3 linked regions of the Rattus norvegicus genome follow. The protein of the gene in region 1 interacts with the protein of each later gene in a biochemical or structural test. Links are inferred from orthologs where the notes say so. Each region holds a gene or a part of one and is shown on either strand. Other genes may lie near its edges.

What was found.
Region 2: the proteins of Clns1a (region 1) and Snrpd3 form a complex in vitro, tested with the Homo sapiens proteins (2 studies listed by BioGRID). The link is inferred for Rattus norvegicus from reciprocal best matches to the Homo sapiens genes CLNS1A and SNRPD3.
Region 3: the proteins of Clns1a (region 1) and Prmt5 form a complex in vitro, tested with the Homo sapiens proteins (5 studies listed by BioGRID and IntAct, with this or other methods). The link is inferred for Rattus norvegicus from reciprocal best matches to the Homo sapiens genes CLNS1A and PRMT5.

What each region holds. Positions count from the first base shown.
Region 1 is NC_086019.1:161,440,071-161,449,643, forward strand, and holds part of Clns1a (methylosome subunit pICln), read left to right. Parts: exon of another isoform or gene 1-2,065; intron 2,066-3,081; coding exon 3,082-3,180; intron 3,181-3,961; coding exon 3,962-4,069; intron 4,070-5,356; coding exon 5,357-5,530; intron 5,531-7,328; coding exon 7,329-7,396; 3' UTR 7,397-7,417; exon of another isoform or gene 7,418-7,421; intron 7,422-9,573. UniProt on the Homo sapiens protein: Involved in both the assembly of spliceosomal snRNPs and the methylation of Sm proteins.
Region 2 is NC_086038.1:13,139,035-13,149,224, reverse strand, and holds the start of Snrpd3 (small nuclear ribonucleoprotein Sm D3), read left to right. Parts: upstream 1-4,304; 5' UTR 4,305-4,419; intron 4,420-5,697; 5' UTR 5,698-5,713; coding exon 5,714-5,839; intron 5,840-10,190. Other genes in the region: protein GUCD1, read right to left, coding at 3,436-3,691. UniProt on the Homo sapiens protein: Plays a role in pre-mRNA splicing as a core component of the spliceosomal U1, U2, U4 and U5 small nuclear ribonucleoproteins (snRNPs), the building blocks of the spliceosome.
Region 3 is NC_086033.1:31,935,748-31,945,263, reverse strand, and holds the end of Prmt5 (protein arginine N-methyltransferase 5), read left to right. Parts: intron 1-762; coding exon 763-926; intron 927-1,386; coding exon 1,387-1,548; intron 1,549-2,185; coding exon 2,186-2,263; intron 2,264-2,357; coding exon 2,358-2,416; intron 2,417-2,497; coding exon 2,498-2,620; intron 2,621-2,707; coding exon 2,708-2,883; intron 2,884-3,557; coding exon 3,558-3,667; intron 3,668-3,899; coding exon 3,900-3,993; intron 3,994-4,140; coding exon 4,141-4,257; intron 4,258-4,519; coding exon 4,520-4,584; intron 4,585-5,576; coding exon 5,577-5,729; 3' UTR 5,730-6,337; downstream 6,338-9,516. UniProt on the Homo sapiens protein: Arginine methyltransferase that can both catalyze the formation of omega-N monomethylarginine (MMA) and symmetrical dimethylarginine (sDMA), with a preference for the formation of MMA.

The sequences.
Region 1 (9,573 bases):
GGAAGAGACCCTGTTTCCAAAAAAAAATGGCGATCAAAGGCCTGGGCTCAACTTAGGGCTTTTTTATACATGTATATAAGCGAGCATACCAGTCACACCTGCATCTCTATCTCCCTCCCTCCTTCCCTCCTCTTTTCCTCCTACCGCCCATGCCCCACCCCCACCCCCAACACACCGGTGGCTATTTCTGGGAAGAGGATCTAGATGCTAGGCTCTGTCCTCTGCACTTTGAAATATTGTTACTCTAGACTGTGTTATTCTTACACAGTTACTACTGTACTGTAGTTACAATTACTGTTGTATGTGTAGTATGGTGACACATTGCTTTTTAAAATGCATCAACAAAGTTTGGAGCTTGTGGCTAATTCAGTGATTTAGAATTTTTCAGTATGTGTATTATTCTGCTGAATAATTAAAGGTACGTTTTTAAACAACATGTCATTGGAAACAGCACAGAAAAGGTATTATCAGTGGCCAGAGTTTTTTCTTTTGCTTGTCTATTTTTGTGCTATTGTACACTGAACTTGTACAAATCAGTACTACACTGGTGGATGCCTCTTGTTTACTGTGTCAACCCTACTGGATGGAGAGACCCCACACATAGTAAAGTGTACTTCTGTATATCTGAGGGTTTCCAGAGGCAGTTAACTCAGGGAGTTGAACGGAGGAAGCAATCTTTAGCTGGTGCCTAGAGAGAACAAAAGGAGGAGGAGGAGGCCTGCTAGTGTGGGCATTCCTGCTTTCGTTCCCCTTCCTTTCTTCTCCCTCTCTTCCTTTCCTACACCCTGCTTCCTGGATGCCATGAAGGAGGCAGCGCTCCTTCCTCTCACCATGGGCAGCTTGAGACCAGGAGCCAAATCAATTCTTTGCATAGATTGCTCAGCAGGTGTAGAGTGACAGCTGGCACACCCTGCAAGTAGATTTATGGCATTAACAAGTGTCACTCCAGTCTTTCCTCATCTGCATGATAGTCAAAAGTTGTTTTTTAATACCAATTTCAAATGTAAAAATGTGCTTTTCTCTTTGCCGTAGCTAAAGGCTGACTGCAGAGCTTTGAGCATGCTTGGCCAGCACGCTACCCCTGAGTTGCTTCCCCAGCCCGTCCGTTCATATATGTCTTACCTAGCCCACTGTGTGCGTGTATGTGTGGATTTGGTTCTTTCCCCCTTTAAGTAGGCTCTGTGGATCAAACCTAGTGTTGTTGGGCTTATGCAGCAAGTGCCTTACCCACTGAGCCTCCTCACCAGCCCCTAATATATATTTAAGATTGCTAATTTCAGCAAACATGTTCGTTGTGGGGTCAGTTTATTGATTTTTTTAAATTAAGAAGTGGTTCAAATATAGAAAAAGTTTAAAGTAATTTTTTTCTATTTTGTATTCAGTGTAACTTCTATTGCTTTTCCCAGATACTATAAGTTTTTAAGGGAAATTAACTGAATACTGTTGAAAGTTGCCCCTTTTTGGGGGTTGGGTCTCTATATTTCCTGGCACTTTCCTGGCACTCACTGTATAGATCACATTGGTCTTGAACTCATAAAGATCTACGTGCCTCAGCCTCCCTTGGCTGGAATTAAAGATATGTACCACTATGCCCAATTTGAAAGTGTTTTGTGGGAACCGGGGGCCTCATCCATGAACAGCTCAGCAATGGCCAAGATTAAGGCTCGTGCCTGCGCGGCAAGAAGGAGGAGGAGCTGTTGAAACAACCGGATGATCTGAAGGTGGAACCGTCCCAGCTTCTCGTGGCCAAAGTGACAGGCAGCGCCTCGTCCACGCTCTCCAAGATACGAGTTGTACTCAAATCCATCGCCTGTGTCTTCACTGTCATTAATCAGACTCAAAAGGAAAACCTCAGGAAATTCTACAAGGAAAAGAAGTACAAGCCCATAGACCTGCGACCCCAGAAGACGAGAGCCATGCGCCGCCGGCTCACCAAGCATGAAGAGAAGCTAAAGACCAAGGAGCAGCAGCGGAAGGAGCGGCTGTACCCACTGCGCAAGTGCGCAGTCAAGGCCTGAGACGACAACAATAACAATAAAGTCCAAAACTGGAGAGAAAAAAGAAAGTGTTTTGTGTGGGTCCCCATTTTATCCTCTTCTCTCTGACTCAAATTAAGCAATATTGTAAAGGTAGTGTCTGCCTTCCTGTATATGCTTTACTATTATGTATGTATGTATTTGCCATATCACATGTATGCCTGGTGCCTGCCAAGGTCAGAAAGAAGGGGTTAGATCCTGGCTCCGAGTTACAATTATGAGTCACTGTATGCGTGTCAGGAATTGAACCTAGGTTCTCTGTGAGAGTAACAAGTGCTCTAACCACGGAGTCAATTCTGTAGCCCTTATATATATATATGCTTTTAACCCTTACTGAATATGTATATGTCTCCAACCGATGTAATGGTTTTATGTTTAAATTTTTAATGTAAGTGATACCATATAGTTTGCAACTAGCTTTTTCATCTAGTTCCTTTTTTAAGTGTCTCTGTGTTGATACATTTATATATTCAGTCTTCCAGTGTAAAAATGTGAACCCGGGACTTCCTGTACAGAGTGACTGCCTCTAAGCTATTACTCCCACCCCTAGTCTCCTTGAGCATTCTTTATCTACAAACTATTACACATTTATCTGAAATCGTCTCACTTCTCTGCATAACCATCAGTAAACACTGAATTGCAATATTTAGATATACTAGTCAATTTCCTAGCTTGTTCATTAAATTTTTTGTGTATATATTTGCTTCTCCTTTTCAAGTACAAGTATTTCAGGCACATACTACCAGGATCTAGCTTCAGTGTCTTTAAAATGTGAAATAAATATTTTAAGTTTTTATTCCTTGAGACTGGAGAGACAAACCAGCAGTTATGAGCTCCTGCTGCTCTTTCAGAAGACAGAGTTAGGTTTCCAGGACCCATGTCAGGTGACTCACAGTGCCTCTAACTCTAGCTCCAGGGGACTCAATGTCCTCTTCTGGCTCCTGTATGCATTCTGTACATAAAGCTTATACTGGCACACATAAGTAAAGTCTTAAGAAAAACTAACTCTTAATGTCTAAAAAGGTTACTTTTATTTCTTTTATAGAAGAATCAAAAGAACCTTTCTCTGATGAAGATGAGGACGACAATGATGATGTTGAACCCATTTCTGAGTTTAGATTTGTGCCCAGTGATAAGTCAGCATGTGAGTGTTGTGATACTGATCTTTTCTCCATATGTCCCCTCTCCCATTGGTAAGCACACACCTCTCCCCTTCATTACCGTTACCTCCGTTCTGTTGCTTTATCCTGTTTAGTCTCCTTAAAGTCATTGAGCAGGTACTTATTACTGTCCCAGGTTGTGGATACAGTAAGAATACTGTGACTAGCATGGTATCTGGTGCACTTTGTGCAAGGAGGACTCTGGTCAGTCTGATTGACTCTGTTGACTCAATGTCAACGGCTGGAAACACTTCCAAAGTTGAAAATGTGGAGATTTTTGGAAAGTATGTCATGTGACAGAGGCTTTTTCCTAATTAGCAGTGTGACCAACATCTCTGACCTTTTTTCTTTACTCTTTCTTTTCCCTTTCTCTTTCCTCTTTTCAACAGGGTCTCTCTATATAGTCCCAGCTGTCCTGGAACTATGTAGACCAGGCCTTAAACTCAAAGAAGTCTGTTTGCTTCTACCTTATGAGTTCTGAGATCAGAGGCCTGACCCACAACACCTGGGTTGGCCTTTTTTTCTTAAATCCAGCCACCAATGAAGAGATATTATAATGTCTTGAATCCTTACTTTGTGACTTATTCATTGTCTTCAAGCATTTTCCATGGTCAATTTTCATTTGAATTTTATAGATTTTATAAATATAGTTAGCCTAGTAAACCTTTTGTCTGCTTTTAAATTGGTTTGTAGCAGTGGTTATATTTATTCTAAAACTCTGTGGTGCACTGGAAAAAGTATTAGTTACAGTTTCCTGTCCTTCAGTGGAGGCGATGTTCACAGCAATGTGTGAGTGCCAGGCCCTGCATCCAGACCCTGAGGATGAAGACTCGGATGACTATGATGGAGAAGAGTATGATGTGGAAGCACATGGTCAGTGACTTGGGTCTCAGGTTGGCGTTACTGTTTCATTTTAAGCATGTGCTAAGGGCATACAATTTTTAGGTTTTTTTTTTTTTTTTCTATAAAGGAACCCATGTAAAATGGCTGTAAATAAAGGTCCATTAGCATACTTGGTGTCTCGGCCCTTTCAGCAGACAATTGGGGAAATGAATGGCTTTCCCAAGCTCAAACAACAATAAGATATTAGGGGTGGGGAATGGATAATAGAAACAAATGGGAAAGACAAGGACAGCTAGAAAGTCGGTGGTCAAGAGCATACCTCAGTCTGAGCTGGCTGTCCCTACCCTCCCCACTGAGAAATCTGTTCATGTATATCTCTTTAAAGTTGTGTTTAATTTGCTTATCTTACATGTATGAGTGTTTTGCCTGGATTCCTATATGTGCCCTCTGAGGCCAGAAAAGGGTTTTGGAACCCCCTGAGTTTGAATTATATGGTTGTGAACTGCTAGCTGGGTGCTGGGAACCAAACTGCAGGCCCTGCAAGAACAGCAAATGCTCTGACACCACCGAGTTGTCTCTCTAGAGTTCTCTTGATATCGCACTTTAATTTCCTTTTCCCTAAACCCATACTTCATTTATCCACAACTATTTTCCACTGCCTCCAGACCAGAATGTGCTCCCTTGCTCTGGTAGGTTGCAACCTAAGGCACAAACGGTCTCTTTGGCACCAGTCTGGGCATCTACAGTTCTTTCCTACACAGGAATCCAGTTCCCAGCCTAAGACTACCCATTTCTGGAATTATTCTTCACATACACAAATATGTTCTCATTTCTTAGAGATTTTTTTAAGTGATTTTCTGTTTTTGTCCCTTTTATATTCTTTTAGATTTTCTGGTTTTTTAAAAAAGGAAAAATATGTTAATTCAAAATTCTTTCAGTCAAATTTTGTATTTATTCACTTATAAAATTCCCACCTTGGAATATTCCCACCTTAGAATAATAAAGGATTCACCAATTTTAAAAACACCCTCGGGGCTGGGGATTTAGCTCAGTGGTAGAGCGCTTACCTAGGAAGCGCAAGACCCTGGGTTCGGTCCCCAGCTCCGAAAAAAAGAACCAAAAAAAAAAACCACCCTCTTTTCCTTCTGGTTTTCTAATTCTAATGGGTAGGGACATATTTTTCTTTTCTTTTTGGAACTCTTAATAATGACCCTATCAATAAATACCGGAAGCCTGTACATCTCCAGCAAATGCATTATTTATTGTCCACTGTCTTTTTTTCCCACTGCTGTATAAAATCGTGTTCTGTTTGTTTAGAGCAAGGACAGGGGGACATCCCTACATTTTACACCTATGAAGAAGGACTATCCCATTTAACAGCAGAAGGGCAAGCCACGCTGGAGAGATTAGAAGGAATGCTTTCTCAGTCTGTGAGCAGCCAGTATAATATGGCAGGCGTCCGAACAGAAGATTCAGTAAGAACTTACGAAGGTGAGTGCCCTTTCTCTTCACCTCATGTGGTGGTCATGTGGCGGTCCTGTGGCAGTCCTGTGCTTTCTGATCTCGAACTGCTTATGTGCCACACCCAGACTTAAAGCACATCTCTATATACTTCTCTTTTTTGGGGAGGGGGGGTCTATTTTGTTTTGTTTTTGAGACAGGGTTTTTCTGAGTAGCTTTTGGCTGTCCTGAAACTCTTGAAGTAGACCAGTCTGGCCTTCAACTCTGAGATCCACCTGCCTCTGCCTTCCTACTACTGGGATTAAAGGTGTATGTCACCCCCCCTTATATGTGTACATTTAATTCTTTTTAGAATAAAGTTTATGAAAAGTTTAAGGATAAGTTTATGATCCACATTTTATCCATTAGACAGCTAAAGCTCAGAAGGGTTGCATTGCTTGAGGTCAAACAGCTGATAAGAGGATTATTTCAGTGAACCATTATATAAAAGTAATATGCCTGCCATTGTCATCAGCACCTCTTACATTTTATGTGTTTAGTATATATTAGTATTTTATGCTCTAGGAACATTGTAACACTGTTGTTTTCAATGACTACAGGACATTGTTGAAGTGGCTTTAGTGTGTCTTCTCTGGTCCCCTTTCACTTCTCCCATGGTGCTGTGATCAGTATCACATGCATACAGCATATTGACCTGAGTTTTGGAGTTCTGGGATAGTGGCAAGGATGGGGAGATGGGGTAGGAATTGTATCTTACTGTATTGCCCATGCTAGACACAGACTAGTAAACTCAAGTAATTATCGTATCCCAGCATGCCTTACTCACATGTGGCAGGTGAAGAGTTGGGAGAGAGTCAAGAGTGAGAAAGTAAACAACTACAGATGGTTTTTTCCAGAGCACTTTTTTTTTTTCTGCCCTCCTCACATTTTTTTTTAAAAACTGTATTCTATGTGTATATGTGTTTGCCTGCCTGGATATCTGTGCTCCTTTGCATGGTTGTGGAAGCCAGATGCCCTAGAACTGAAATTGTAGACAGTTGAAATCTGCCATGTGGGTGCTACAAATCGAGCCTGGGTCCTATGAAAAGTCGACAGTGCTCTTATTCTTAAGTGCTGGACTATGCCTTTAGCCCTCATCCCATGCCATGTTAGTGAGATAATGGAAATGGGGAGATAAAGTTTGCTGCTGTTGTTTTTCTGCTCTGATTAATGCATTTGAAAATCCCTGCCAGCCAGACCTGGTGGCATGAACTTGTGATCCTAGCGCCTGATGTGAGCCCACAGGACGCAGTGACTTTGAGCTTGTCTAGGCTACATAGCTAAACATTCCAAATTTTTTTGGAAGAAAAGGCATAAATTGACTCCTGCCTAGGATTTGTGGGTTTGTATGTGTATGTGTGTTGATATTGTGGATTTACAAAGTTAGCTGTTTAGATTGATTTTTAATTTGACTTAAATCCACAGGTGGCTCAGATAACTTTGTTTTCAAAATAGAAAGAGTGGAATTGGAGGTGTTAGATAGCCTGAAGTGGTGGTCCACCTGCAGTCCTAGCCATGGGCCTGAGGTCAGGAGCGGAGGATAGCCTGAACTGCATGAGACCCTATTTCAAAAACAACAAAATGCCCAAATTTTTAAAATGCAGTTATTGTTTTTATTGTATTTTTTAGATTGGGTCTCACGTGTAGCTTAGAAGTACTACACAGACTAGACTGGCCTTAAACTCACAGAGTTCTATCTGACTGCCTCCCAAGGGCTGGGACTGCAACAGGGGACCACCATGCCAGGCCTTGCTGAGTCAAGTGTCTGAGAGAGTGTCTTTATGTACAGATGGCATGGAGGTAGAGACCACACCAACTGTTGCCGGACAGTTCGAGGATGCAGACGTTGACCACTGAGGATGACTCGTGTGACTTACAGTGAGTGAGTAGCTGATTCTCTCTCGTTACTGCATGAGGATCCCTGAAACGACAATGGGCTTAAAGAGTTCTAGGAAGGTAGCAGTTTTAAAAAATGTTATCCATCTCTGGTTACTGGAAATTACTTGGGTTTTGCCCTACAAACATCTTTTAAGTTCAGTTCCAGAAAGATATGACGCCCTCTTCTGGCCTCCACAGGCACTACATGCACATGGTACACATACATGCTGGCAAAATACACACACATAAGATAAATATATATATTTTAAGTTCAGTGTTTCTAAATTACTGCAGTTATAGAACTAACGATGCATGGTAACGATGCATGTTTTCTTCTAATGCGGCTATCAAAAAAATAGCCTTAGAGAAATTCTGTGGCTGTGTGGTTTATATCTCTTCCCATAAATGTTTTCCTTCCCTGCATTATTGCTGCTTTTGTGTAGTCTGTAGGCAGCAGACTCTCTGCTCACATCACTGCGAGCTTTCCTGGTGCCGGTTAGTTTTCCGCTCTCACAGTCCCAGACATTGATAACCCACCACCGACTCCAGGCCTGACCTCCCTTACTCATCATCACGTTAGTGACAGCTAACTGCCTTTGAAGGGAAGGGGCAGTGGCTAGCATTATAAGTTGTTAGTAGCCTGGATGGGAAGTTTTTCTTCTTTTTTCTCTTAGTGGATTTTTTTAAATTTACATTTAAATGTTATCCCCTTTCCCTGTTTTCCCTCCAGAAACCCAATATCTCATCCTCCCCTCCCCCTGCTTCTATGAGGGTAACTCTCTTATCCACCCACCCATTCCCCCCCACGCCCTGACATTCCCCTATGCTGGGGCATTGACCTTTGACAGGACCAAAGGCTTCTTCCATTAATGACAAGGCTATCCTTTGCTACATATGTGGATGGAGCCATAGGTTCATCCCTGTGTACTCTTGGGATGATGGTTTAGTCTCTGGGAGCTCTGAGGGGTCTGGTTGGTTGAAATTGTTGGTGCAAACCCCTTCAGCTCCTTCAGTCCTTTCTCTCATTCCTCCATTGGGGACCCCATTCTCAGTCCAATGATTGGCTGCAAGCACTCACCTCTGTATTTGTTAGGCTCTAGCAGAGCCTCTCAGGAGGCAGCTATATCAGGCTCCTGTCAGCATGCACTTCTTGGCATCTGCAATATTGTCTGGGTTTGGTGTCTGTATATGGAATGGATCCCCTCGGTGGGGCAGTCTCTGAATGACCTTTCCTTCAGTCTCTGCTCTACACTTTGTCTCCATATTTTCTCCTGTGAGTATTTTTGTTCCCCTTTTTAAGAAGGTCTGAAGCATCCACATTTTGGTTGTCCTTCTTCTTAAGCTTCATGTGGACTGTGGATTGTATCATGGGTATTCCAAGCTTTTGGGCTAATATCTACTTATCAGTGAGTACATACTATGTGTGTGCTTTTGTTTACTGGGTTACCTCACTCAGGATGATATTTTGTAGTTCTATCCATTTGCCTAAAATTTCATAAAGCCATTGTTTTTAATAGCTGAGTAGTACTCCATTGTGTAGATGTACCACATTTTCTGTATCCATTCCTTTGCTGAAGAACATGTGGATTCTTTCCAGCTTTTGGCTACTATAAATAAGATTTCTATGAACATAGTAGAGCATGTTGTGTCCTTGTTATATGTTGGAGCATCTTTTGGGTATATGCCCAGGAGTGGTATAGCTGGTCCTCAGGTAGTGCAATGTCTAATTTTCTGAGGAACTGTCAGACTGCCTATTATTTTTGTTGTTAGACATGGAATTGTGTTTGTGTGGCTCTCTTTTGGGTTAGTTGAAAGATTACTTTGTTTTTTCTAGGGAGTTCCCCTCCTTGTGTTGGAGTTTCCCATCCATTATCCTTTGTAGGGCTTGATTTGTGGAAAAATTGTATAAATTTGGCTTTGTCATGGAATATCTTGTTTTCTCCATCTATGTTAATTGAGAGTTTTGCTGGATATGGTAACTTGGGCTGGCATTTGTGTTGTCTTAGGTCTGTATGACATCTGCCCAGGATCTTCTGCTTTCATAGTCTCTGGTGAGAAGTCTGGTGTGATTCTGATAGGTCTGCCTTTATATGTCTCTTGACCTTTTTCCCTTACTGCTTTTAATATTATTCTTTCTTTGTTTAGTGGTTTTGACT
Region 2 (10,190 bases), on another chromosome or scaffold:
GGGCAGATGACTCAGTGGATAAAGAGCTCAAGCAAGATGACCCAGGTTCAGAGACCCAGAACCCACACCAGCCTGTAACCCCAGCAAGCAGATGGACACAGAAGTTTCAGCGAGCTGGCTAGGCAGACTAAGAGAAACAGCAAACTCAAAGATGAGTAACAGATTCTGCCTTCAGGAAGACACCTGAAGTCAGCCTTCCAGATGCATGCATACACACACACATACATACACACAGATACATGAGAACACACGCATGCACGACCCCTACCCTACACTTACCCTTACCCTCACCGTTACCCTTAAACTTGCCCTTATCCCTGACACTACCATTACCCCACCACTATCCCAACAAAATCCAAACTCCAAACCCTTTCTCCAACATCCTCTTCTGCCTTCTGAGAGCAGAGAGCACACATGAGGTACACAGACAGACCCACAAGCAATAAAACAAAACAAACAACAACATCAACAACAACAACAAAAACCAAAAAGCCTCATGGACATAAAATAAAAACAAATCTTTAGGGAAGTAATTGCCCAGCTGTGAGGTTTCTGAGTTTGGGTCTTATTCAAAGACAGGAAACACTAACCTAGGCTCTGCCTCAGTTTCCTTTCTAGTTGCAGTGATGACAGACCCTGACAAACATAACTTAGGGGAAAAGGGGCTTATATTAGTTCACAATTCCAGGGTGCACCCATCACTTTTGGGAAGTCACAGTGGTTGGGTCAGCCAGTCAGATCATATCCAAAATCAGGAACCGACAACAAAGAGTATACACGTGTCTGTCTTTCCCCCTTTTATCAGTCTGGGGCCCAACCCACTTTTGGGGTGTGTCTTCCCAGCACAATTAACCCATTAAGAAAATCACTCACAGGCAGAGCTAGACAATTCCTTACTAAGACTCCTTTCCCACAAGATTATAGATTCTATCGGGTTAGCGATTAAAACTAAATGGCATTCTGGAGATCGCTCAGCAGCTGAAAAGTACTCTTTTGCAAAGGACCAAGCGCCCACGGTGGCTTATAGCCAGCTGTCTGTTAAGCTCCCATTCGGGGGATTCTGACATTCTTTTTCAGCTTCTGAAGGCACCTGTATGCAGACAAAATACTCAAGACACATAGAATTTTATAAAGTAAACAGCCATAGGGCTCCTTTTATCTCTCTCATACTCTGCTGTGAGAGGACACATCATTTCTCCCTTTCCTCTCTTCCTCCCACGTGGGCCTATCTAGAGAGAGTCTACCAGGGATGGATGGATCTTGTACTGAACTTGCCGGCATCTTGATCGTACAATTCTCATAAATCCCTATTGCTTATAAATTTTCCAGTTGTAAGACACCAGGGAACATACTCATCTTGTTTGTTTGCTGTCTCCCTGCCTAGTGTCTGATGCTTAGTGCTCTCTCACTATCACACTTATACATGATGTACACAAGGGGATGTAGCACTTGTCCAGCACTGACCAGGACCTAGGTTCAATCCCCAGTGCTACAAATTAAAAAAAAAAAAAATGGAAAAAAAAAGTTGCACTTACTGAGGTGACGTAAACTTGGTCTCCAGGGACTATTATGCTAAAACAGTTCTCTCGGTAGCTACAGGAAAACTCTCTGCAGGGTGTGGCACTATCAAGATGGGTGTCTTCACTTTTCAGAACCCTTACTGAGGCTGTAAAGGGCTCTGAGCTACTCAGGCTGATTGCTACCCAGGTTTTGTTTTTATGCCACCATTGGTCTGGAATGTTGCTTTCTCATCTCTGACTTCCAAAGCCTCTGTTCTACAACAACACCCCCCTCCCGTCATTCTCTCTGCCCTTCAGCATGCTCATAGAGAGAGTATCGGCCTTCTCCCTGGTCAGCCTGAGAATTCTGTCATGGGCATGTAGGATTAGGGCTGAATTTGCCTCCTCCAGTCCTCACCCATAGCTGACACTCATTTATGCCGTTGAGAAGGTTTGGGGTTGATTTTGGTTTTTTAAAGCTCTACCCTTTGAAATACCTACTTGTTGCTATAAGTGCCCATTAGTTCTAGGCCTCCAGATCACACCCTCTAACGGAGGCTGCCTTCTTACTTGATGGCCTGAGCTCTGCCTCTAATTATTTGGGACACGCCCTCTAAAATGTGGCATAGGACAGACGCTCCTCAGGGTCCTAAGAGACTCAGGTGTCTCTCCCCTTTCCCTCAGCCTTAGAACCACTAGATCCCAAGGCCTCACAAGGCAAACATTCCTTAACTATCCTGATCTTAGCACAGGGAGGATGCTTTCTGAGGCTAGGTGATAAGGGTAGAAGCAGCCTTGGTATTTGTCCTGATAACAGCATCAGAGCCCAAAACTGCTTCAGATCTTGAAGCTTTAAGCCAAGACAGTCCTCCACCTGAGCTAGGATCTGCTTTGGAGAAAGCCTTGGGCTGGCTTCAGCTGTCTGGTTGTCACGAGAGAAAAAAGGCAGTCAACTCTTCCCGCTATTTTAACCCTCTCAGCCTGTCTGCTCACCTCAACGGGTACAGAAAACAGCAGTAGCCTACTTGACTGGGATTTAGAAACATGAATTCTGTGCTATCTATAAACACTTTAATGCTGCGTCTACCTCTTAGCACCCTACACAAGTGAGCCATTATCTGCCGAGGCTAAGAAAGGGCAATGATCTAGTCAAAGTTCACAGCCGCAGCTAACTGGAGAAGTAAATAAGTAAATTCCAGCACAGGACCAAGCCCAGCTCCAGGTTACAACCAGAAGGAACCACTCCCTGAACGTGATGCCCCTCTCCAATTAAGAGTTTGGGTCCCACACCCCTTGACCCCTACCCACGAGATAGCGCCTCGCCTGTAACAGTTTATTAATGTCAACTCTTGTGCCCTAACCAGAGCTCCACCAGAACTTCCTGCTGTCCCCACTTCGTGAGTAAGCAAAGGGGCTCGGGTTTCCTCAGGGCAGAAGGAACCAGTAGTAAGCAAATAACCAAAACAGTAGCAAGACAAAAGCGCTGGGTTTGGGAAGCCAGAGAAAAAGACCTTCCCTTTGCTAGATGCTCCCAAGCCATTTTTTCCCCTCTTTCCCGCCCCTTTGTTGAGTGCTCTCAGGCCCCTCTTTCCCCCCCTTCCCGGCCTCAGGCTTTCCACAGCTCCCCGGGAAACAGGATCACCCAACGTGCTTCAAGCAGGGCTATTCGTTTCTGAGCAAGGTTGTGCCTTTTTGCCCCTTGGACTTTTCCACTTGACCACTCTCAGAACTCCCTGGGCTTCAAACCCCGGGAGACTCAGAACAACCATAAGTTGAGGATAAGAGATGAGAAGGAATATCCACCTAGCTAGGACCCACTAGAGGCTCCAGGCTGGGCTGAGGCCGCAGACGACCCAAGGTCGCACGCTGCCAGACCCTGCTCGGCTCCAGGGCGGAGTCCCCCCCCCCCTCGGTTCCCCCTTAGAGAGGCACTGACCCGGCTCGAGCGGCTGCCCCGCTGCCTCTACCTCCGTTCTCATGACCCGGGTGGCGCAGGGCGCCCATGGCCCCGGCCTGGAGCTGATTGCCGCTGCGATTTCTGCTGGGCGGAGAGCTCGGCCAGTGAGCGTAGAGTTCCTCCGCCGCCGTCGCCGCGGCCACCGCGGTTCAGACCCGGGTAGGCGGTGGCGAGGCCGCCTCAAGCCACGCCTAATCCCTTCCAGGTCTGGGCGCTGGAAACCCGCCCCTTCCATAAGCCACACCTCTTCCCTTCTACCCACTTCTCTTCCAGACTGCGCTCCCGGCCGGTCCTTCCCTTAAACGCTCCGGCGGCCCCGCCCTTCCTTAGCCCCGCCCCTGCCCGAGCCCCCGCCCCCAGAGCCTTTCCCGGGGCGACGTTGGCTCCCCACAAACAACCTAGCACTCTCCCGCCACTAGGTCTGCTCTTTTGCAGCCTCAGTTGTAGGCTCTGGTCCTTCGCAATGCCTCGTCGAGACTCCAAAGAATCCTTTTCCTACTCCCTTTAGGTCTTCTTACTTTGACCTTGAATAAAGATAGTTCCCAGGGCTCGGTGTGTCCCTTACCTGACGGTGACCGGATCCAAAGTTTAAATTTCTAATCCAAGCCTCACTTCCTGTCTACCCAGAGCATTGGGCGCAAGCCCAGATCCTGCCCAATCCGTCACTACAGCACTCTGTAAGCGTGGGTCCCCATGTTCCTTTGTGGGCTCGAGGATTGATGTTTCCGGCGGTCCTCGGGCCCTCCACAGTGCCGGAACTATAGTGCTAGAGGCCTGGGTTCCCCAGCCGGCTAAGTGAGAGTAAAGGGTAAGTAGGCCTAAAGGAAAGGGAGGGGCCTGCGCAAGGCATTCTGGGAGCGCGTGGTGTGAGTGATACTCGGGCCCGTCGTTTCCTCGCCTCAAGCCTTCGCCTTCTAACGTTTGTGCCGGGACCGAAAAAAAAAAAAAGCCTGCAGTTAGTTGGTGAGGAGAGGCGGCTAACGGGAGAGGGGAGGCCAGGGCTCTCCAGAGGCTTAGGAGCTGAAAGGGACGCGGAGGAGGAGCTCAGCGGGGCTTAGCGGAGGGCGGGAAGCCAGGGCCTATCCAAATATCATCTCACTAATCCTAGGAACAGTTATTTATTTACGCCTAGCCAGCACGTTCTGTGCCTTTCCAGGTCACCGATTTTCGAAGCTTACAGGCAGTCCTTTCTTGCTAGTTATCTCCTTGCCTTCCGGATCTTCGTTTTCAACGTCCTTTTCATCCCTGCGCCACTCCCATTCCTGTACTGGCCTCCCCTCCTGCTTTGCACGCTGCTGCAGACGTTTCAGCAGATTGCTCTGCTATATGTTTAATCCACTTTGTAGATGCTACTAGTTTTTTTTTAAGCCCTTGCCTATAATCCTGTAGTGTTTCCCTACCATTTTCAGCACTCTCCTAAAGTTGAAAGCCGTGGTTCCTCACCATGTTTAGCATCCTTATAGTCTTCTCATGAAAATGGGCCGTGTGCTCCGTCTAGTGTCGTTTCCCGTCTCAGAAATGTAAAAGCCCTGCGCATAGTCTTTGTTTTTTTAATGAGACTTAAGTCGAGCGTTTACCCTATTTCCCTGAATGATGAGCATTTCCTGTTTATAGCATGTTGCCGTGACGCTTTTGGTCTGCTTTTTGGTGGGGAGTCAAAAAGCTAAATTGTAAAGCACAACCTGTTTTCCTGGATTTCTCTGGGTTTAGGTCTCTTTGTACTATCAGGTACTGTAGCTTTTATCCAAATGCGGTTGCTGAGTGATTGGAATATGACTAGTGTGGCTGAGGGACAGATTTTTTTTGTTTTCATTTGCATTTTGTTTACGTGTAAACAGTTATTTGGTCGGGGTCCATATCATAGTTGTTTAAATGATTATAAAGAGAGGGACATATGACTGGGTGAGAAGGGAGGTACTCGGGGTTGGGGATTTAGCTCAGTGGTAGAGCGCTTGCCTAGGAAGCGCAAGGCCCTGGGTTCGGTCCCCAGCTCCAAAAAAAAGAACCAAAAAAAAAAGAAAAAAGAAGGGAGGTACTCTGATCCCATTCATTGGCTTTCTTTGTCCAGTTTACCATCCTTCCCTACCCTACATGTTGGGCTAACTTGCCGTCGTGGGTCCTTCAAACCAAGAGCCAGACTCCTTCCACAGAAAATGCAGCCGTGACAGAATCTGCAGAGCCTGTGGAATGCCAGTCCTTAGGCTCCGAAAGGTAACCATTGTCTCTCTCACTGCCCCATAGGAAGAGTCCTGCCAAGATGTCTATCGGTGTGCCAATTAAAGTCCTGCACGAAGCGGAAGGCCACATAGTGACATGTGAGACCAACACTGGTGAAGTGTATCGGGGGAAGCTCATTGAGGCAGAGGACAACATGAACTGCCAGGTATCCTGCTTTGCACCCGGGGCTGTGAAAGAACGGTGGCTTCTATCCTGGGGGATAAAAAGGTCTTAATGAAGTTATTCTTACCAGACAGTTACTACCTGTCAGGCACTCTGACAGGCTGTGAGATCATATGTCAATGTAGACTTAGTCTTGAGACAGGAAAGTCATTTGACAGCCTGATGTGGTAGTCCATGAATGTCCCAGCAGTTGGGAGGCTGGGGTAGATTCGAGGGTTCTAGGCCAGTGTGGGCTTTACAACAAGACCACACTGCTTTTGGTGGGGAGTCAAAAGGCCGAGTTAAAAGCCCCGCCTCTCTTCTTAGTTTTCTCTGGGGTTGGGTCTATGTGTGCTTTCAGGTAGCCTTTATCCAAATGCAGTTGCCGAGTACCTGTCCGTAAAACAACCAGTTATGTTAACTTGTTCTGTCTGTCTCGGCTCCTAGAGTAGGTCAGGTTCGGAACCGGAGTCCGCTTCCCAGCACAGTTTATAGTTTGCAGAATTTTCTGCTCACATATGTGTGTGTTTACTTTTGTCTTGGAGAAAGTTCATCTGATAAAACTACCAGAGTTTTGATAAATGGTTTTGGATTTTTTTTCTCCCATTAATTAAGAACTTGAGCTTTGGAATCAGAGAATTCTCTGATTTCAAATTGAGTTGGGCCACAATTATAGGACCTGGGGTACCTTGGCCATTCGTTCTCTCCTCTATAAAATGAGAATGGAGTTGTTTTGGATCCTCTGTGCTGTAAATGCCAACCCAGAATTAAATCCACAAAAGACTTGTTGGGGAAATGGCAGAAGGATGTCAGTGACCGAGCGGGATAGCACATGTGATTGGTTACTTTTCTTGTTGCTGTGATCAAATTCCTGACCAAAGCAACTTACGGAAGGAGGAATTTATTTTGACTCACAGTGTGATGACACAGTCTGTTGCAGAGGATGGTGTGATGGCAAGAGCTTGAGGAGGCTAATAGTCGCATTGAATGTGCAATCAGGAAGCAGAGATTAGTGCCTGCGCTTAGCCCAGTTTCTACTTTTGACCTCCACCTAATCTAGATAATCCCTCACAGACGTGCCTGTCCCTTCCTTCAGTAATTCTAAATCCATTAAGTCGATAATAGTAATGATGGTAGCAGGAGAGTCTTCAATCCAGAGAAAGGAAGGCAGATTGAGCAGAAGGAGCCTCAGACTGCAGCATGATGCTGAGCAAGTTTCCCCAAGTAAGAGGAGTGACTGGAGGCAGAAGTGGACTGGCTCTCATGTTTCCTCTGTGCTCAGTCCCTGGCAGCCTGTGTGCATGGCTAACGCAGAGTGAGTGCCAGGGCAGATCCAGAGCAGCAGCTGGAGGATGTCGGCTGCACACTCTTCCCTGCCTATTGTCTCTGGAGGATGAACGTAACATCCCTAGACTGCTCCAGGTCTAGAGATGTTGGAGAAGAGACGTGTGTGTGGGCAGCAGCCAGCTCAGTGCTCTGCTGTTGGAGTGAATCTGTAACATCTTATAAGAATATATTCTTAGTGAGAAAATGAGGTTGGAAAGGTGCAGTGCTTGTTTAGGGCGCATCTGTAGTAAGAGAACCTGCCTGTTGCCTTTTAGGGTTTGTGTTAGTTATCAGGGTCTCTATTCCTGCACAAACATCATGACCGAGAAGCAAGTTGGGGAGGAAAGGGTTTATTCAGCTGACACTCCCACATTGCTGTTCATCACCAAAGGAAGTTGGGACTGGAACTCAAGCAGGTCAGGAAGCAGGAGCTGATGCAGAGGCCATGGAGGGATGTTACTTACTGGCTTGCTCCCCCTGACTTGCTCAGCTTGCTCTCTTATAGAACCCAGGACCACCAGCCCAGGGATGGCACCACCCACAAAGGGCTGGGTCCTCCCACCCTTGATCACTAATTGAGAAAATGCCTTACAGCTGGGTCTCATGGAGGCATTTCCTCAAGGGAGGCTCCTTTCTCTGTGATAACTCCAGTTTGTGTACAGGAGGACGAATCTGCTTTGTAAGAAGGCTGGTGACAGCAGCAGGAAACGGAGAGCTTACATTTTCAGTAGACAGCACGAAGCATAGAGAGCAAACAGGAAGTGTCAGGGTCCTCAAAGTCTGCCCCCAGTGACATCCTTCAGCAAGGCTTCATCCCCCAGAGCCCCCCAAAACATCACCAACTCGGGGGCCAAGCATTCAAATGCCTGCAATTATGGAGGCCACTTTTCATTTAAACTACACACTTGTGCTGGTTAGGTTTTTGTCAATTTGACACAAGCTAGGGTTGTCTTAGAAAAAGGAACCTCAATTATGAAAATGCCTCTATCAGATTATCCTCTAGGTAAGTCTGGGACATTTTTTTGATTAGTGGTTGATGTGGGAAGACCCAGCCCATTACAGGCTATGGGGGGGAGGTGCGATTAAGAACGGTAGGTGAGGACCAAGCATGGTGATAAAACCAACACCTGTAATCCCAGTACTTGGGGAGCAGAGGCAGGACAACCAGGACCATAAAGGAGGTTGTCTACAAAACAAAACAAAACGGGCATGGTGGTGCACACAGATCTCTGAGTTCAAGGTCAGCCTGCCCTACAAAGCAAATTCTCTCAGCCAGCCAGGACTGTTACACAGAGAAACAAAAAAGTGTGTGTTGAGCATGAGCCTGGAGGGCAAGTCTGGAAGCAGCATTCTTCTGTAGTCTCTGCTTCAGTTCTTGCCAACTTGGATCCTGCCTTGGCTTCCCTTAATGATGGACGGCGATCACAATGTGTATGCCAGATAAACTCTTCTACCCCCCGCCCCCAGGTACTTTTGGCTGAGGGGATGTTTATTAGAGCAACGCAAAGCAAACTAAAACAAGATTTAGTTTAGAGTTGGTGGTGCGTGCCCACACCTCTCCTTCCCCTCTGCTGGGAATGGAGCCCGGTGCCTCAGGCGAGATGGTTAAGCTCTCGCACTGAACTGTGCCATTTGCCATTGTGGGGTTGCTTTTGAGATGAGATCTCTATAGATCCCAAGCTGGTCTTTAACACTTGATCTTCCTGCTGCCTCAGTGTCAATTCTGTAATTTCTGGCAAGTGCCATCCCACTTGGCCTTGAGGCTTCTTCAAGTCCTGTACTACTTGGTTTCCTTCCAAAGGAAGGTCCTGAGAGGTGTAGCTGACTTAGTGCTGTCAAGACCTGTAGTGGTCTGCCTTTGTGAGGGTCCGCTTTCATGGGTCCTGCCCTCTCATTTTACCCTCTGCTCCCTTCAGAATCAGTGATAAACTAACCAGCGAATGCTCATTTTGATTTACTTATGGAGTCTGAATACTTGTATCTCTTTGGGACTGATGGCTCCTGCAGGTTCCCCTGCTGTCTCCTTTCCAGCCCCCAGCCCTTAAGAAATACCTTCCAAATACCTTCCCTGGGTAACATTTTCTTATAAACTTGGGGCAAAGCCAAGCCTGGGAGTTCACATAGTTCCAGCACTTGGGGAAACTGAGGCAGAAGAATCATCACCACAAAATTCAAGGGAAGCCCGGACTTTTTAACACCTTGTCTCAAATAAATAAATAAATAAATAAATAGCCCAGAACAGAATATTAACACATCACAAAGATTTGGGAACATGAGAGGATTCCATTACAGCCGCTTCTTTTCCTGTGTGTATTGACACAGACTTCTTTACCTATGTGGCCCTTATTGTATAAGAAATGGCTTAGAAAAATTATAGTTTGTTCAGTGCTGGGAGTAGAATCTGACAAGTACTCTCTACTCAGCTGTGCCCTCTCCCTTATGTGGTAGTTTCACGGGAGGGAATGGGCTGTGGTGCCACTGAGCTTGATTAGAAAGGCAGGCAGCTCGTACTTGACTGAAAGCTGAGTTCCTATGCATCTAATAAAGGTTCCTTCAGGTATGAAGCCAGTCAGAAGGAAATCATTATGAGATACAAATTTCTCTGGCATTCAGATACCCAAGATCCTATTAAGTGATGTTCTTAGGTGCTCGAGAGACAGCTCAAGTTGGAAGCTCTGGCTTCTCATTAAAAAGACCTAGATTCAATTGTCAGCACCCACATGGCCGCTCATAGCCACCAGTAACTCCAGTTCAGGGAACCTGATGTCCTAATCTGGCCTCTGAGAACACCTGCACACTTGTGATACACATGCATACATGTGCATTACATTTTGTTGTTGTAATGATCTGCCTTCTTTTAGGGTCACTTGGTAAGGAGCATTGTGCCATTGAACCACACACCTAGAACTTGGTCGTTTGGTCATTCTTTGTCATAGCATGTTTGTCTCTTTTTTTTTTTTTTTTTTTCGGAGCTGGGGACCAAACCCAGGGCCTTGCGCTTCCTAGGCAAGTGCTCTACCACTGAGCTA
Region 3 (9,516 bases), on another chromosome or scaffold:
AAAGCAAGCCAAGCAGTGGTGGTGCACACTTAGGAGGTAGACGCAGTCAAGTCTCTGCAAGTTTGAGGCCAGCCTGGTCTACAGATTGAGTTCCAGGGCAGTTAAGCCTATACAGAGAGACCTTGTCTCAAACAAAAGTTAGAATCAGCAGTTTAGAAAGTTCCAGGACTGGCCTTATGGACCCCTGCACACACATGGTACACACGTGGTATATGTGCACATATACACAACACACACACACACACACACACACACACACACACACACACACACAAAGTAAATCTATGAAAAGGAACCATTTCATGAGGCTGGGGGTGTAACTCAGGTGGTGGAATCTAGATCAGGTCTAGATGCAGGAAGCCCCTGAGTAAGACCCACAGTGCACATGCAGTCAGATGTCATGGCGTATGCCTGCAATTCCAGCCTTAGGAGGTGGAGGCAGGAGGATGAGAGTTCACGGAAAGTTCAGTGCTATATTGGGTTACCTGAGACCCACTCTGAAAATACAACCAGGTGGCCATTCTGTTTTCATATACCTTTAATCCCTGAACATGGGACGCAGAGGAAGGTGGGTCTCTGTGACTTCTAGGCCATACAGACTACAGTAAGAATCTGTCTGAGAAAAGGAAAACAAAGTGAGTTCCATGTGTATCCTAGGTGTCTTGACTGCTTTCCCTGTGCTCAACAGAAGGAAGAAGAATTGCACCCAGTAGGGCAGGCTCCCTGCTCACCCACAGGTGATCTTTCTCTTCCTTTGTGTAGCTCTTGAAATCGGAGCTGACCTCCCGTCTAGTCACGTCATTGATCGTTGGCTTGGAGAGCCCATCAAAGCCGCCATTCTCCCCACCAGCATTTTCCTAACCAACAAGAAGGGGTTTCCTGTTCTTTCTAAGATGCAGCAGAGGCTGATCTTCCGGCTCCTCAAGGTGGGTGGCCCAGGCCTCTCCTGACTTACTCACTGGAGTGTGACTTTCACCCCGTGGGGGAGGGACAGGTGATTGCTTGCTTTCTGGTTCCTTCTCCAGAAACCAGAGAAGTCCTGGAGAAGGAACCAAACTTCTTCAGATGTAGTTGTCCTTCCTCATGCACTGGGGATTGTGTTACCCCAGGGACCTTTCCACTAAATTGTCCTGTGCTTAAACTGCTGGCAATGACCTGCCTGGCACCAGACTCTCAAGTTTGGTCCAGCCCAGGTCAGGATGAACTGAGTTCTCATTCTTACCTGGTCAGCATATGAGGACTTTATACATTTATGAAAGCCATACTTTTTTTTTGGTACTGAGACAGATGCTGGACAACTATTGGTATGGGTTTTATTTTATGTTGGGGGCTTTGGTTATAAACCATGTCTGAGAATCATGAACTGTGGGCTGACTCTCCTCACAGTTGGAAGTGCAATTTATCATCACGGGAACCAACCACCACTCAGAGAAGGAGTTCTGCTCCTACCTCCAGTACTTGGAATACTTAAGCCAAAATCGTCCCCCACCCAATGCTTACGAACTCTTTGCCAAAGGCTATGAAGACTATCTGCAGTCCCCACTTCAGGTAGGTTTGAAGAGCACTGAAGGTGGAGAAGGGACTGCAGGGATTATTCAGAGTTCAGAGCATGGGCTTCTCTTCCTGAGGACCTGAACTTGGTTCCCAGCACTCATCTGGTGACTCAGAGATGTAACTTCAGCTCCAGAAGACCAAGTGCTTTCAGTGCCTTCTCAGGCACTGCCTGCACATGGTGTGCACACATACATGCAAGCAGAATATCCATGCACATACATAGTTTTAGTTGAAAAAAAAAAAATCTTGGGACTGGAGAGATGGCTCAGAGGTTAAGAGCACTGACTGCTCTTCCAGAGGTCCTGAGTTCAAATCCCAGCAACTACATGGTGGCTCACAACCATCTGTAATGGGATCTAATGCCCTCTTGTGTGTCTGAAGACAGCTATAGTATACTCATAAAGATTTTATAAAATAAAATCTTCAATATCCATTCTTTATTTTAAAAAAAATAAATAATCTTCAAGAGATATAATAATAATTGTAATAATAGCAAGAGAGAGGGACAAGAAATATCTCTAAAGAGTAGGTAGTCCAGGTAGATCCTACCTAAACTCAGGAAGCAATGGGAGAGTTTTGATGTCTTGGCCATTTGCCAATACTGGCCAACTTCTTCCGTCTCATTTGTCAGCCTCTGATGGACAATCTGGAATCTCAGACGTACGAAGTGTTCGAAAAGGACCCCATCAAATACTCTCAGTACCAGCAGGTACAGTATTGGCTTCAGGAAGGCCAAGCACAGGCCAGGGAAAGGTTGGTAGAGATGGGGACACTTCTATGAGGTTTTCTGTCTCTCCCCTCAGGCCATCTATAAATGTTTGCTAGACCGAGTACCAGAAGAAGAAAAGGAGACCAATGTCCAGTGAGTCCTTCTTTTGTTCCCAGGTAGTTGTACGCTTGCTTCTCCCTCTGCTTGGTCTGCTTGACTCTTCCCTTTTCTTAGGGTACTTATGGTGCTGGGTGCAGGCCGAGGTCCTCTAGTGAATGCGTCTCTCCGGGCAGCCAAGCAGGCTGAGCGGCGGATTAGGCTGTATGCCGTGGAGAAGAACCCCAATGCTGTGGTGACGTGAGTAGCAGCCTGCTTGCTGGGCAGCTGGTCCTGGGTCCCAGTTTCCAGCTGAAGTCTTCCTTACTCGGTCACCCCTGATTTCAGGCTAGAGAACTGGCAGTTTGAAGAATGGGGGAGTCAGGTGACAGTTGTCTCGTCAGACATGCGGGAATGGGTGGCTCCGGAGAAGGCAGACATCATTGTCAGTGAACTTCTGGGCTCCTTTGCCGACAATGAGCTGTCACCTGAGTGTCTGGATGGAGCACAGCACTTCCTGAAAGGTTTGTCCAGGTTGGGGGGATCATATGGCTGCGAACTGCTGCTTGCAGGGTAAAATGATTTACACAGGAGTGGACTAGAGATTCCATAAGGCTTGTGGGCTCTGACCATGGCTTTGGAGCATTTATCTGAAATGAGGCCCAGAGTGTGATCTCTACGTGGGTAGAAAAAGTATCTTGGACTTAATGTTCGTTTGTTTATGGGGTTACCAGCATCTACATGGTGGGTTAGAGTGCAGTCAGACCTACCCTGGTGATATTCAGCAGTGGGCTGTGTGTGTATGATGTGATCCCACAGAATTGTGTCAGCCTGGACCTCAGTCATCTTAGTTTGTGTAAGGACTGTCATTTTCTCTCTAATAGTCCAGAATTTGTTCTGTGCTAAGTAGTGCATAGCTCTGTTTTTGGGGTGTTTTTTTTTTGGAGCTGAGGACCGAACCCAGGGCCTTGTAGGCAAGCGCTCTACCACTGAGCTAAACCCCCAACCCCTTGGGGTGTTTTTTTACCTTTACTTACGGCTCTAACATCCTAAGAGTAGAATTCCGATGATCCAACATCCTGTCCTCCAGCCGTGTTCCTAGCAGCCTTGGCTTGTTCTGTTGTTTGAGCCTTCAGCTGGTGCAAAAAATGCCCTCTCCCCTCCCTTTGGGAACTGATTTGACCCTGTTGTCCTGCAGATGATGGTGTAAGCATCCCCGGAGAATACACCTCCTTCCTGGCTCCCATTTCTTCCTCGAAGTTGTACAACGAGGTCCGCGCCTGTCGGGAGAAGGACCGTGACCCTGAGGTAAAGAGCTGCTTTTCTAGGAGGAGGGACTATCCTTCAGTCTGCTCTCCTGTCTTCCTCTGAAGCCAGTGAAGAGGTGAGAGGAGCTGGGATTGAAGAACGAGGGTGAAGTAAAACGATGTTTTCGTTCTTTGATGCTGGAACTCCAGCTTTCTCTGGGAAGTGGTGCCTCCTGTCTGTCTGTCTGTCTGTCTTCTGTCTCCTGAAGTTGTTGCTTTCTCACCCTGGCCAGGCACAGTTTGAGATGCCTTATGTGGTTCGGCTGCACAACTTCCACCAGCTTTCTGCTCCTCAGCCCTGTTTTACCTTCAGCCATCCCAACCGAGGTAGGTTCATGCATGGCTGTTCTGACTGAGGGGGTGCGAGCTTCCCAAGTCTAGGTCTCAGGTCCTGCAGTCCTAGAGCCTATTCAGGTTTGCCAAGTCATTGAGGGGTTTTGGCCCCTTGTCATCCATCCATGTCCTTCCTGACAGATCCTATGATTGACAACAACCGCTACTGTACCTTGGAGTTTCCTGTGGAGGTGAACACGGTGCTTCATGGCTTTGCAGGCTACTTTGAAACTGTGCTTTACCGGGACATCACTCTGAGTGAGTGTCTGGGAGCTCATTAGAGCACTGGTGATTTCAGTTCTTGGGGGCTGCTTCACAGTGTTCTCTCCTCCATGGAGATTGCTAGCTGAACACTAGCTGAGGTTACTGTCAGCCCGGCACAGTAATTTCATGGGGAGTCCAGAGTCCAGGAATAGAGGTCTCTGATTCTTAGGATTTTTTATGACCACAGAAGAGACTTCTCAAGGTAAGGAAGAGGGACAGTGGTGACCTCAAGTCTTTCATTACTTTGTCTCCACAGGTATCCGCCCAGAGACCCACTCTCCTGGCATGTTCTCATGGTTCCCCATCTTCTTCCCCATCAAGGTAGGAGTCCCCTCTAAGATGGTTGGTTGAGGGATAACAGTGGTGTTCTGCTCCTGTCCCTCAGCTAGTTGGCTGTGACCCACATTCTGTTCTGTCACTTGCTCTGTGGTCTTGGTTGGGGTTACCCAAGTAAGCTCCCTGGACTCCCCACATCTCCAACCACTCTTGTCCAGTCTTTACCTGGAAGAGGGTTGACTTTTTACCACTTAATTTGAATTGGCCTTTCTGTCTAAGCCCCTCAGTGCCTTCCCACTGCCCTCAGGTGAGACCCTGGAACCATGTTGTAAGAGTTGGCTTGGTGGCTTTTTCTGCCTCCCAGGAGATGTCTCTAGCTTTTAGTCCCCTCTGTTTTGCCTGTGAGGTTCTTTGCTCATGCCTTCACCCTGCCAACTGACCAGGTTTCCTGGGATATCTGCAATCAGGCCATTTTCCTGACCTCCTAGAATAGGCTGTCTTCCTCCTAAGTGCTTTCGCGGCTCCCTGTACATGCTCATAGCACTCACTGTGTCCTTGCTCACTGTCCATATTTTGACAGAGTAGGGACGTCTTTTTTTTTTTTTTTAAAGATTTTATTTATTTCATGTATGTGAGCACACTGTAGCTGTCTTCAGACACACCAGAAGAGGGCATCAGATCCCACTGGATCCCAGATGGTTGTAAGCCACCATGTGGTTGCTGGGAATTGAACTCAGGACCTCTGGAAGAGCAGTCAGTGCTCTTAACCGCTGAGCCATCTCTCCAGCCCCGAGTAGGGACGTCTTATGAGGGTCAGAATATTTTACTATATTTGTCTTTGGTTTTGAGAAAGGGTTTGGGATTATATTCAAGCTGGCTTTGAATTCCTGACCCTCCTGCCTAGCCTCCTGAGTTTGAGGGTTATAGGTTTGTACCCCACACTTGGCTGTTGATTATCTAATCCCCGTCTATCCTCCCAACATTGTCAAGTATAGTTCCTCAGCTCAACCCCAGCCTCTGTGTCTTTCCTATTACAGCAGCCCATCACGGTGCATGAAGGCCAGAACATCTGTGTGCGTTTCTGGCGATGCAGCAATTCTAAGAAGGTGTGGTACGAGTGGGCGGTGACAGCGCCAGTCTGTTCTTCTATTCACAACCCTACTGGTCGCTCCTATACCATTGGCCTCTAGCCCTGCACACAGCGTCAGAGCCTTGGAAGCAGCTCTGAGTTCTCTTCCTGTAGCACAGAAGGTGCAGAACATCTACTGGTTCAGTTCATCTGTGAGACCCTCACCTGCCAGCGAGGAACGATTCAGTCTGCTTTTCTACCTATGTCATGGTGGCCAGGGGGTAGGCATTCCAGGACTGCCAAGCATGGTGGTGCATACTTTTTATCCCAGCACTCCAGAGGCAGAGGCAGGTGAATTTCTTTAAGTTCAAGGCTAGCCTGGTCTACCCAGCAAGTTTCAGGCCACCTAGGGGCTACATAGTGAGATCCTGTCTCCAAAAAAGAAAAAAAAAAAAAAAGAATTGCAGGACACAAGCCAGCAGCAGTTTTCAGAAGCCTCTGTCGAGGGCACGAGGACTCAGTAGCACTGGAGGAAGTGGCATCGGCGGGCGCTCACCCTCCAGAGCTTCCCAGGGGTCAGGAGAAAAGGCAGAGGCTTGTGGGAGAGCCCCAGGAGTGTGCATGAACACTTGCGGCCTTCCCCTGGCCTTACTCTGTTGTTGTTTGGATGCTTTGTGTCAGAAGGAAACACAAATAAAGAGAAGTTACGGCCTCTGCTGCTCTCCCCTGCTGCCGCCTGCCTGTTTCCTACACTTCACTTCAATCCCAGCACACCGAGGTCTGTGCTCTTGCCTTGCCTAAGACCCAAGGAGGTCAGAAGCTGGGGATGTTCAGTAGTAGAGCACGAAGTACTCAGTGGTGACCTGTGAGGTTCCCACTTGTGCTCATGTTGTGTTCCGTCCCCGTGTGTCAAGCCCTCCAGCCTCACCCGCCCCCGCCCCGGGACCTCTGGGCGTATGCTTTTCTCATGTGGTCCATTAGGTTCATTTGTCTATTTCTCTAGGAAAGAGACACCTTGGAGATATGAGAAGAGCTTCTAGCTTCTCCCTTCCTTAGATGGATTGCCAGTAAAATCACAGAGTAATTGTCCATTTTGCAGAAGAAAATTTGAAGTTGGTACAGTGAAATGTTGCACCTATCCTAACATCTCTGACAGCAGCAACTTTTTGGGGTAGTGCAGGGATTGGGCAGCTCAAGGGTCCAGGAGCTTTGGGAAACCTAAGGAAGTGAGGGTTGGCACCATCAGTTCTTTTTAGAACAGAATACCCAAGTACCCATGTCAGCTGAGAAGTTATCTCGGTTTACGTTTGCAATAGGGGACCATGTGGGGTCTGATGTGAACAGCAGTGTTGCAGAGGAGTCTGGCAGTACTCAAGTCCCAAGGAGTGAGGTCAAGAGGGCGGTCTGGGGGCTGGGGATTTAGCTCAGTGGTAGAGCGCTTACCTAGGAAGCACAAGGCCCTGGGTTCGGTCCCCAGCTCCGGAAAAAAAGAACCAAAAAAAAAAAAAAAAAAAGAGGGCGGTCTGGAGGGTGGGTGGCTGCCTACTCAGGATGGAGGTATGGGGTTCTACAAAACCCTCGAGTCAGTAGGTATGGCCAAAGTTGTCCTCCGTGGGCTCTGCCCATCAGGTGCTTATGGGCATCTATAACTGGAAAGAACAAGTGAGTCTTTTCTCCATCTTTGCTTTCCTTCTGTAAGTCACTTAACTAGGGAGTTAGTGGTAAGCATCTCCCAAGGGTGCCTTTGCTTGAGTCCTGGAGAGGTTAGCTCATCTCCTGGGGTTAACTAAGACATTTGAGTTTGGCTCCTATGTAGGGCTGTAGCCAGTTCTTGAACCTTTGTTCTGACGGATCTCACAAGTGCATGGCATGGTCTGGAAAGAGGAGTCCAGCTGCCATGGTACTCTGTTGAGCATACAGGAAATAGTGGAGCTTCAGGCCCCCACAAACCTGAAGGAACAGAGCAAACCTTTGGGACTGGAGTTGGTGAGAAACCTTGCCCACTGCCACTGTCTGCGTAGTATACTGACAGTATATACCTAGGGACTCATGTGGTCCCAGTCCTGCGGTCACACTGGTATAAAGGAATTGGGATGCTCCCTCAATTCTCAGTCACTGGAAAGTTTATGTTTATTATGTTCTTATGTTAGTTTCTCTGGGTGTTTTTGTGTTTTGCTTCCCTGGGTTTTTAACTTTAACCACACATTCCATTCCTGAGCCCACATAAGAGAGAAGCACTGGGACAGGCTTTGTAGAGCTGGTGCCAACCAGCAAGTTAATTTTTTTTTTTTTTTCGGAGCTGGGGACCGAACCCAGGGCCTTGCGCTTGCTAGGCAAGCGCTCTACCACTGAGCCAAATCCCCCAACCCCGCAAGTTAATTTTAAAATTTAGTTTAAGTTAATTTTTGTTACTGAGACAGGGTCTACATAGCCCTGGTTGGCCTGGGACTTGAGATCTACCTGCTTCTGCATCTTGAGTTCTGAGATTAAATGTTTGGGTCACTTAAGTTTGGCAACCGTGGACTATGTTTTAAGAGAGTAGCCTTGGCTCATTACACAACATTCCGGTCTCTAAGTCAGTATTTCCACTTCTTCACTACATTGCCTTGGAGGTGCTTTGCCCAGGTCAGTGACTTCACCCAGGAAATGGTGCTGCCATTGTCCCTCAGACTCCCAACATTTGTTCAATTCTCTCCAAAGTGGTTGATTGCCTTTTAAACCTTCCTCTGCCCCTTTGGCCATGCTGTGACCGTGGGTGGCTGGTGTGACTTTTGAAGCAAGGATGGAAGCCGAGCTTGTGGATGGGATTTACTGTCCCTTGGAGGTCTTGAGTGGATTATCAGTGAAGAGTACGAGCTGCTGGTTTTTCAGAGGACGGCGTTCACAGCCTTCCATAATTCCTGTCTCAGGGGATCTGTTGCCCTCTTCTGAGGTCCATCGGCAGCAGACACACACGCTGCACAGATGTGTAGCCAAAACACACATACTCCATAATTAAGGGATCTTGACTCATAAGTTAGGGCACTGAGAGAGAGATCCTGACAACTATAACCTCAAAATGAATAATATTTAGAACGTCACTGTTTTTAGGACTTGTAAAACAACCTAACCCAGTGAGATTGTCAGACCAGGTAGGGTGAGGCTGAGGGAGGAGGATCAGTTGAGTCCTGGAGTTCAGGGATACAATGCTTTCTGCCACTGATAACCACGTTCAGCATCAATGTGGTGACTTCCTGGGAGTGAAAGACCACAAGAATTGCCTAAGGAGAGACAAAGTGACCCATGTCAGAAATGGAGTGAGTCGGTGTTGGTTTGAACGAGAATGGTCTCAACGGGATCATATATTTGAATACTTGGCCCCCAGTTGCTGGAACTGCTTGAAAAGGATTAGTAGGTGTGGCTTCATTGGAGGAGAGGTATTATTGGGCGTGAGCTTTGAGGTTTCAAAAGCCCATGCCATTCCCATCCAGCTCTCTGTCTCCAACTTGTGGATCAGAAAGTAAGCTCTCAGCTATTGCTCTAGCCCCATGCCTGCCTTCCTGCTCCTCTACTATGCTCCCCACCTTGACAGTCATGGACTAACCCTCTGAAACCCTAAGCCTCAATAAACTCTTTTATTAGTTGCACTTTCATGGTGTTTTGGCATGCAATCGAAAAGTAAGACATTCACACTTTACTTTCTGATTAGTAGTGGGGTTGTGGGTTGTGCCTGTAAATAGCTACTATACCCCAGCCTGGACAAAGGAAGACACTATCTCCTCAGAACAAAGACAAAACCAAAACCCAACCAACCGATCCCCAAACAAAACAAAACAAAACACCCCCAAAACAAAACAACAACAAAAAACTACGAGTTTGTTTTTCAAAAGAGGGTTTTCGTATGTAGCCCTGACTGTTCAAGAACTCAC